2 linked regions of the Drosophila melanogaster genome follow. The protein of the gene in region 1 interacts with the protein of each later gene in a pairwise test. Each region holds a gene or a part of one and is shown on either strand. Other genes may lie near its edges.

Region 1 (4,841 bases):
GCGCTTGCGTCAGCAGCTGGTGCAAAACATTTGCGGCATTTCCGTCGCCAGAAAGGGATTGAATTGGATTGAGGACTGTGATTCTGATTGTATCGAATTGGATGGGTTGGTATGGTGTGGCATGGTATGGGATTGGATTCTTAGTCACTGGCCCACATGCAGATGTAGGCGCCATCGTCGCCTTGTTGTTGCTGCCACTTTCGGCTTCAAACGAAATTCCCCGCCATGTTACGCAGCGACACGGCGATACGAGTGAAAATTGTTCGCGATTGCATTTAGCGCGAAATTAAATCAAAACAAGTCGACGGCGGCGACTGTTCATGAACTTATGTATATGCATATATAATACATACATATACATATGTACACATACAGGGGACTCGCAGGCGGCACTCGCACTCGTACTCGCACTCACACTGGCACAACTGCAAAAGCAAAAGCATATTCATTTACAATTTGCGAAAATGTCAACGACGGATGGCCGCCGGCTGTACAAATGTCGCTATCTATCTAAAACTGTAAACAAATGTACATAAAATAAAAATCGACAAAATACACACACAGGCATAAGCGGACAGGCGCTCGCACACCGAGGCAGTCACACAGACAGGGCTGCATTGCAAAGTGCGAGTGAGGCCAGACTGTGGGTGCGAGGGGGAGGGAGACAGACAGTACGCGTGTCTGCCACAAAGGTGTATGAGTGTGAGTGTATGTGTGAGTGTCTGGCCGTGTGCGTGTGATTGTCTGGCCGTGTGGGTGTGAGTGGCTGAGTGAGTGAACCACCGAGTGTGCGAGTGTGTGTGGGCAGCGGCGACCTAGCAGCGCAACATGTCAAATCACTTCGTGGAAATGGAAATTGTGGAAATGCTGGTGAAAAATACAAGAACCCACCTAGTTTTGTAAAAAAAAAAACCCGACTTTTGCTTTCCCTACTGCACTGCGGTTTGTTTTCCTACTCGTTTTGGTATTTTCCTTTAGATGGTGACGGCAGCGACAACGTCACAGGCCTTCTTATTATTGTGCGTGTGTTGTTGTTGCTGCTTGCTATTGTTGTTGTTGCTGCTGCTGCTGTAGTTGTTGTTGTGTTAAGGTGCCAGACACCAGAGGACGGAACGAAACACACACAATCTCGCACTCGCGCACTGGAAGTCGATTTCCGCCACCCGGGCGTTTCCACTTGGTGTTTTCTTGCCTTCCAAAGCAACGTTGCATCAATTGCAAATGCTTAAAAACGTAGTTTTCATAAACAGAAGCACGCACACAGGCAAAGTAAATTTTCCAAGTACCGTTTAGTTTTTACGCTTCACTTTTTTTCGATAACTGGCTCGATAACTGATTCGATCCGCGTTGCCACCTGTTTTAGCGATAGTTAGGCGACTGTTACGGTGGAAAGATGCCAGAGAGAGACATTATTTAAGAGCTGTACAACGCGCAAATATCCCTTAAATTTAAATTAAATGTTTTAGAAGGCAATAGTTCTGTTTTCTGACTGTCTAGGCCGACTCTTTAACTAGAATTCACTTCAAATTTGAATGTATGAACTGCAGATTAATAATAATGCTGTATTGTTATTAAATTCATTTTTAAAAACTTTATTTTATATGCTATGTATACAAAACTATTTCTTATATCGACAAATTGTTATAACTTTTCAAAGCATAATTGATCAAAAATTTGGAAGCCCTATCAATTTTATATATGGTTCCTGTCCGCACTAAGTAGATACTCTGATAAGTATGACCATGTGTAAGTAGCTAGAAAAAGTCAGTTCTCTTTTCCAGTTTCCCAGATCAAATTTGATATTCACCTCTTTGGGCACTCTTGCTCAGATTTGTTTATGCAGAACGCGAAGTCTCCTTTGAATCCGAAAAAAAAACAAAAAACGAGTAGCGAATAAAGTGCCCCATTGGCACAAAACGAGGTAAATAACTTGCAACCCAATCGGAAGGGAGAACATAGCATGCCACTTTCAAATAAACAAATAACGACTCCAGCGCGACTGTGTGTGCGTGAGTCCCTCCCAATGTTTGTGTGTGTTATCAAAAAAGGCGTAGAAAAGTGCAAAAACAAAGGTGTTATTGACTCTCAACTTTCTTTTTCTGCCTATCGTGTGTATCACTGTGGGCTGTGGCCGAATAAGAGCGTTCGCCGAATATGAGCAATTGGAAAAGCATGAGCATAAGTAATGAGGCAGAATCGGTTGCATTCAATTAGTTGGAGAAATGAAAAATATGAAGAGATGGTGTAGAGAGAAGGGAAGAGTGCAGTCTCGAGCAATCAATACCAACGCAGCCACGAGCCCCCCTTTCTTTGTGTGTGTGTGTGTTACCGTGTGAAAACAAAACAAATGTATGCTAGCTGTGGAAAAGAAAGCGCATAATTGAATAATAAATAATAACAGAAACAGGGCAAATGGCAACGACTCAATGACAAAAGTAAAGCCGCCACCGCAGCAGAAGAAATGTGGGTGCAAAAGTGAAGAAATATGCCATTGTTTATGTGATTTGCAAATGTGCACATTCACACAAACACCGTGGCAAGATAACGGTTGTTGTGCGGGCGGGTGCATTGCTCGAAGTGGCTGTGCAATTGTAAGAGCGAGATAGCAATACGAAGAGAACAGGACTGAGCAGTACAGGGGCGAAATCCAGGGGACCTTAAACGTGGATTATGGGCACCTTAAATGTTTTTGTAAAATCAAATCACATAAATACCGTACTTTAAACTATTCAGTGAATTAAAATTGTGTTACTGATTTTAAAAATGTAAGTTGTAATTTCAAGTTTGGAAATGAACGGTATGCCCTGCACGTTTGTCTAGATCCACCCCTGGATAGAGCGCAGCAAAGAGAACAGTGCAAATCGAATTAGTCCAGACTTTTGGTCACGCCCTTGAACTTCGCATTAACCCACCAACGCCCCCCTTCCGCAGCTAGCACCTAAGGACCCCACACACCACATAAGATGTTCAACTTTATGAAGAAGAGCGCTGGGGATGAGGACAAGGAGCGTCGCAAGCGCGAAAAAAAACTGCGCAAAGAGGCTAAGGGCACCTCTGGTGGCCCGGGAATGGGAGGCGTGACTGGCGTCACCGGCAGCATGAGCACCGACGAGCTGCTCCGCCTGGACGAGGTGCGCCGATCGCTTAAAATCCGAGGGCGACGCAAGGAGAAGGAAAAGTTGCCGAGCGGAATTACGGCGGACTATAGCGCAGACTTCTTTGCCGCCCTCAATGCAGATGCAAACGGCGGAAGCAACGGAGGAGCAGTGGGAGCTGCAGATCCCGAGCAGGATCGTGGCAATGAGGAGATTGTAGCATCTGTGATGACGCACATCGAGAGCCGAGCGTCCAATGGCGCCGGCGTGAGTGTCAACTACAGCGAGGTCACACATTCTCTCCTCTCTGGAGGGCTCAAGGTGAGGTCTTTGTCGTTTTCTTATCCGAAATCGTATTGAAAAACTTTGCTTCCACATTCCAGAATCGCTTTCTTCCACCTATACCCCCAAAACCACCCAAGCGTGGCATTCTGAAAGGCTCCCGCAGTAATATGACCAATGTCCACGAGGAGATTAGCTTTGCGGGTAGTGCCGGAGGAGCAGGTGGCACGCCAGAGATGCTATTGCGCAACACCTTTCAGAATGAATCCCTTTACGAGGGAGCTGCCAGGGGAGCTGGTTCGATCGGCTCGAACTCCAGTCAGCATGGAACCTCGTTCACTTCCGTGGAGAGCCTGCGCAGCGATGGAGAGCAGACAGGAGGTCAACAACGGGCCATGACCCTGCCGGCCAACGCCCGCTATGGAGCTTTACCCCAGGGCAACAGTCAAGGATCGCACCTCCATGTGCTCACCTCGCCGTCGCCCAGCGCCGACAGTCTCACAGATACCACAAACTCCTCTTTCGCCACACCCCCATTTTCGCTGAGTCCCGTCGGCGAGTCCCAAGGCATCGACCGTTGGGCCCGCGTCCATGCCTTCGAGGATGTGGAGCTGCCGCTGCCGCCAGTGCAGCTAGTAAAACTTCCCCCACCAAGGCAGCTAGTGATCAGGCGACAGAAGTCTCCGCGCCAGGACTTCGGCTTTAGCCTGCGCAAGGCCATCTGTTTGGACAGAACAGAGTCCCTGACTTCGCCCATTTTCAGGCCGGTTATATTCGCCGAGCCAGGTGCTGGTGGCGGAGCCACAGGTCTTTTGCCTGGCGATCGCCTAATCAAGGTCAACGGCACGCCGGTTGGGGAACTGCCGCGGGAGATCATAATTGAGATGATACGGAACAGCGGAGAGGCTGTCACCGTGGAGGTATGTTGTTCTAAGAATTTCCTAATTCCTTTTATGTGCATACGCTAAAATAAGAATTAAAGTATGATAAGAAAAGATATGATAAGAACACCTTTCATTTTATGGCTCACAGGTAAATACCTGACAACTTTGTTAAAGTTTTGCATGAATTGTTAATATGTGATTATGTTTTGTTTCATCATAAGCAATCCCTCTACGTCGGAGTTTTGTATAAAATGCGTTATTTGGTTATTATAGGAATATTTAGCTGGTAAACTTTTACTTTGTAAAATTCTAATATTCTTGAATCCCTTGCCACCCACCCAGGTCCAACCAGTCGCTGAGTTGGTGGAGCTGAGCAAGCGATGCATGGCCCCCAGCACAGCCACCGTGGAGGAGATCGATCATTCCATTACCAACGGCAACTGCAATACCCTGCGACGCAGTGCCAGCAAGCGCTTCAAGCGTCAGGTGAGTCGAGATCGCATCCATTAGTGGGTCTAGCTTACACACGTGATTGATGGACCAGGCAGGCCGTCATCACAGTACTGCAACGAACCAAACC
Region 2 (4,822 bases), on another chromosome or scaffold:
TGAGGTTCCCACAATAATTTATCAGTACGTGGAGTGCTCGAGTAATCTTCCAAGATTAAGAGGATTTCTTGAGCAGGCCGACCATTTGTCACAAATCATTCAAACACCAAGGGGACGAGAACGAATGGGAGTCGCACGGTGGAAAGTGGAAGTGATATTAAAGTGGGCAAAGATAAATACGGGGAAAGCGAGAAATTGAAACAGTTGCTAGGAAAAATCACCGAAATTCCAGCGCCTGAGCGCAGCAGTTCCAGCGAAGCGTTCATCTATCGTGTAATACAATCCGTGCGTAACTATAACTACTTAGTACACGGATGCATCTTGTATCTTCGATCCGCGAGGTCGACGAACTCCGTTCCGTACTGCGCATGCGTCGCCGCCTTCGCGGGAAGTGTGTCCTCCTGTCGCTGTCATCCAATTTCAAAACATGAAAAATTAGTCCATTTCCGTCGCATAGATCCGTGGATGCCAGCCCCATGTGCTCACCTCGGCTCATCCTTGGCCTCCGGGTTGAACGAACTGCAATTGTATCCCGTCCTGCGCGGCAGACTTGTTGCCGTTGCGTTGGAAAATCTCACCCTATGGGCATTGAACTCCGGCTCAGGATTGCTTATTGGGGTTGTGGTTTAGGTGGTTCTGGATTCCCAGGTACAGTCACCGGGATCTAGGCTAATTGGAAAAGAATGCAGCAACGCAGAAAATAATATGTAATCTGTGGCCAATGACAGCATTTGCTAATCACTCCAACAGGTGTTGCATCATTGCAATTTACGAGTTGTTTATAATAAAACGAAACAGTGAATTTAAAATACATTTAAAAATTGATGTATAAATGGAAATCGAAAATACCTGAAATTGGAATTAAACCTACATATGCATATGTATCTCAAAACTTATTATTGATCATTGTACATATATAACATATTAATGTTACTTATGTAACTCGTTAGAGCTTTGTAAAGTTGCAGTTCCCATCTTTCACTAACGATTTGGATATATAAACTTAGTCATAATTCTGCCATGTTAAGACTTTTGGGGTATACTTCGACCATTCCACTCCCCTAAACACACAGAGTAAAGTCCGACAGCCAAGATCGCAGTGCAATTAAATGGCAACCAAGCAAGCGACACTTTGGTTTCGCTGCCAAACTCCACTCCGCTCGAGTCCACCCCCACTCACCCCCTTTTCTTGGGAAAAGATGGGGCACATCCCATTAGAAACCGAGAACACTTCGCGGGGTGCAGCGAGAACAGACGCAACGTCTGCTTTCGAAGCCAGATATGTTCAGAATGAAATGTAAATGTTGCTAAAATAATATGATAAATGAAGTTAATTAAATCTATAATAAAAGAAAATTAAATACTTATAAACTGTATAATTATAGTTTGCAAAATATTTAAAAATATTATGTAATAATTCTATGCACGATTGGAGAACTATTTGATTTTCCAACTTTTGGCTGAAAAATGTCCAAATGGGCAACGCAGCTCTGGAAACGGAATCTAACAAAAGTGATGGACCGGCGCTGACTTCACGTTCTGCACCCGCGACTATTTTTAGCGCCGTCTTTGCTTCTTCGTCTAGTTAGCATTGGGGCAGATACACGTACATCCGAATGCACGGATGTATCTGAGCATCTACGCATAGTATATATCCTCCTGTTGCCGAGGGCGCTGTTGCGGCTGCGCTGCCTCACTTCTGATATTCCATTGCATCCATCGGATGCAGTTGCCGTCAGCTCGGCAATCCGCTCGTCTCAATTGCATTCCAGCGCGCGTTCGGTACGGATACGGATTCGGTTACGGCGGACACAAGATACGGATACAGCAGCGCCAATCGGATTAATTGCCACATTGGATTATCAGTGATAAAGTGAATGTGAAAGAATATTGACAAAAGTGGCACTACCATTGAAAAACCTAAATCGTGATTGCATAAAGTTCCTAAAATATATATTGTTAAACATCCACTGTGCGGATAGATCTTAAAAACGGAAGGGAAAACTGAAATTCCAGGATTGTTCCAACTAGAACTTATCATCTTGTACAAGCAGAGGAATTATAAAAGATATTAAAGGTTTGTATTAAAAATGTATACGCATATATTGTAGCATACTTTTTTGATTATTAAAATCATTAAAGTTCAAATGAATGCACTTCAATCATTTGGCGGATATGAAACTACAACAGCTTGACTTTAAAAATCCATAAAGATCCATTCAATTTACTATTACCTAGTACATTTCTCAAAGAATTTCATATAACTTTCTGAATAAGTTTTTTATAAAAGCTCAATATAATCGCGCAATGAGTAATGCCCAAGTAATTCGATGTCGCCTAGTATCTGGTGGAATGCGCAATATCTCGCCGATCTGGCGGATCGGGTCCTAAAAAGGGAGCATCGTTCAGTGACCATATCCCAGGGCATTTAAGTGGAAATGTCTTGAGCGGCGAGCCGAAACAAAGGCAGCTGAATTTAAATTGGGAACCAACTGAAAAATGTCGCATGTTCGATGGGGCGCCCATTGGCTCGAAAATGTGTAAAAATGAAAAAAAAAAAAAATAATAAGATGTAAACAACACAAAAAGAGTGAAAGAAAGAAGCACAAGTTCAAGACTCTCACAGATACTCCACACGCACACAACCTCAGCCGTGGCATAGCTAAAAGTAGAAACGCGCGCAGACGAAGCAATAAACTGCACGGAAAGTAGTTTAATGCAGTTTGCTGGGGATCCTAGAGCCCCCTGCATCCCCACGCCCTCCCTTCGCGCCACGCCCCTTGGCGCACGACAAACAACTACAAATACAACAAATGCAACCACGGCGCGCCGCCAACCCCAGTTTTCCGCCGCCGATCGTTTGGCCGATCTATTTTCGTACCGCTTAGGGATGTGTAGTTTTTCGTCGCCTAGAGTAATTTGTTTGTTGCATTAGTTTTGTGGAAAATCTACACTGCAAAAAAATGTAATAGCTAATCTATATACATAAGTAAATGTAAGTAAGATTTATAAAGACGACAGAAGAATGAAGGCATAATGATTTGATCAGATATATTTATTAATATAAGTTACTTCCCTATAGTAAATATGATATAATCATATATGCCATTAGATAGATATAGCTATATTAACCTTATATGGCTCCAAAACCATTTTAATAGATATTCATAATATTTTTGTGCCGCTTTTCAAAGATATTTCTTAAATACAAAACTGCAAAAACTAAAAAATAGCAGTGCATAATCGCCAAACCTAAGCAAACTGCAAACCAAGTTCAGCCCCGACTAAAGCGAATTTGCCCGCAAACCAACCGATGGCAATGTTTATTTAAAACTTTGCACTGCCAAAGTCAACTTGCAACTTGTGGTGGCAGTGGCACAAGCCAAACGTTAGTTTTTCCCCAGCGAATCTAAAATAATGGAATGGGGGACCCAACGGCAGCAACAATAACTATTGCAACACCTAGTCGAGGGGAAAGTTAGGGGGAGCAGAGGAAGGGGGGATGGATATGTCAAGAGGCCGATGACATTGCTAAAGAACTACAGTCAAACTTCGCTAAGCCCAACTTTCATTTCTAAGAAAATCTCGCATAGTTAAAACCTATTATAGGTATTGTAATTGTTCGAATATTCCTGGAAAGTGCATACTATACCCTCTGATATTTGATTTCATGTTACTTAAGATCCACTGTACTTCGAGTTCCTTGCACCGAGGAAGAAGCAGCTGAGGAAAACACCAGAATCGCTGCAGGGGGCACCCTCACACTTGAACAAGATAGAAAGATACGCACGCGCACCAAATGTGAGCGAGATGCGCATGTGGCCATAAAAACGAGGGGAAGTTCGTTGTCTATCGCCTGGGGGACACTTCCGTCTCCATTCCTGTGTGCTCCGCAGTGCCCTGCATGTCTGCAGTTGCCATGTACCGCAGTACCCCATGTGCCCCATTTCCCCGGGCTGCCTCCTTCCATGTGGGAACTGCTGGAGCCGAAGATTGATGTTGGGACAATTTCACGTCCCACTGTTCGCTGGGCATTAAGTGGCATTAAAGTTGTCCCGGCTTATCGCTATCTCACAAGCACAAGCTCGCACCTCAAGATGCACCTACACTGAGAGAAATCCATGCCACGAGCTAAAGTGAACTCTAAACTAGAAGCCCGCCCATTACAGACTTACAATTACAATTTTAGGATCTAAGCCCGAAATCAAACTATAGCTATTTTGCATTTTTATTACATTTAAATTCATATGGAAAGATACAGATAGTCAGCACAGAAATCAGATTGTAACAAATCAGATTTGGTTTAAAAAGATAGTTTTGTAGATTGGGACAAAGTATTTCTCCGTGTTTTTATCTGCCTAGCTAGCTCAACTGATCTGAACTCATTTCCGCTGGAAATCCCCATATTCGAGTGCGTTTTCATGGAGGACCGTTAAAATCAAGACAGCCCCAAAATTACATATGTCAAATTATGTTTAATGTGCGGCATTAGTCAGGTACAGTGGTGTTTAGAGAAGCTACTGGTGCTCGTAAATGGGGAGAAATGCAAAGAAAGCATTACCTTTTATAGCTCAAATCCATACAAAGATACTTTTAAATGTACAGTGCCATACTTCTTGTTGACTTTAAGATTGTATTTTAACCGTAAGCTAAAAAAAATAAAAAAAGCATTAACCCCATTTTTGAAATACTTTTAAATATGAAAATAATATATTTAAATATTTTACAGTATGCCCTCGCTGCAGCAAATTGCGCTCGCGATGGAAGGTGACCAATCGGAGCTACAGACACCGCCGCTGCCGATCAACCCGCCGCCCAAGGT

Evidence for each region. Proteins that work in one complex are often made in the same cells at the same time.
Region 2: the proteins of Mhcl (region 1) and rols interact in a two-hybrid assay, tested with the Drosophila melanogaster proteins (one study listed by BioGRID).

What each region holds. Positions count from the first base shown.
Region 1 is NT_033777.3:16,095,711-16,100,551, reverse strand, and holds the start of Mhcl (myosin heavy chain-like), read left to right. Parts: upstream 1-1,790; 5' UTR 1,791-1,921; intron 1,922-2,931; 5' UTR 2,932-2,963; coding exon 2,964-3,416; intron 3,417-3,478; coding exon 3,479-4,297; intron 4,298-4,603; coding exon 4,604-4,747; intron 4,748-4,841.
Region 2 is NT_037436.4:12,061,817-12,066,638, reverse strand, and holds the start of rols (rolling pebbles), read left to right. Parts: upstream 1-1,779; 5' UTR 1,780-2,077; intron 2,078-4,729; 5' UTR 4,730-4,730; coding exon 4,731-4,822.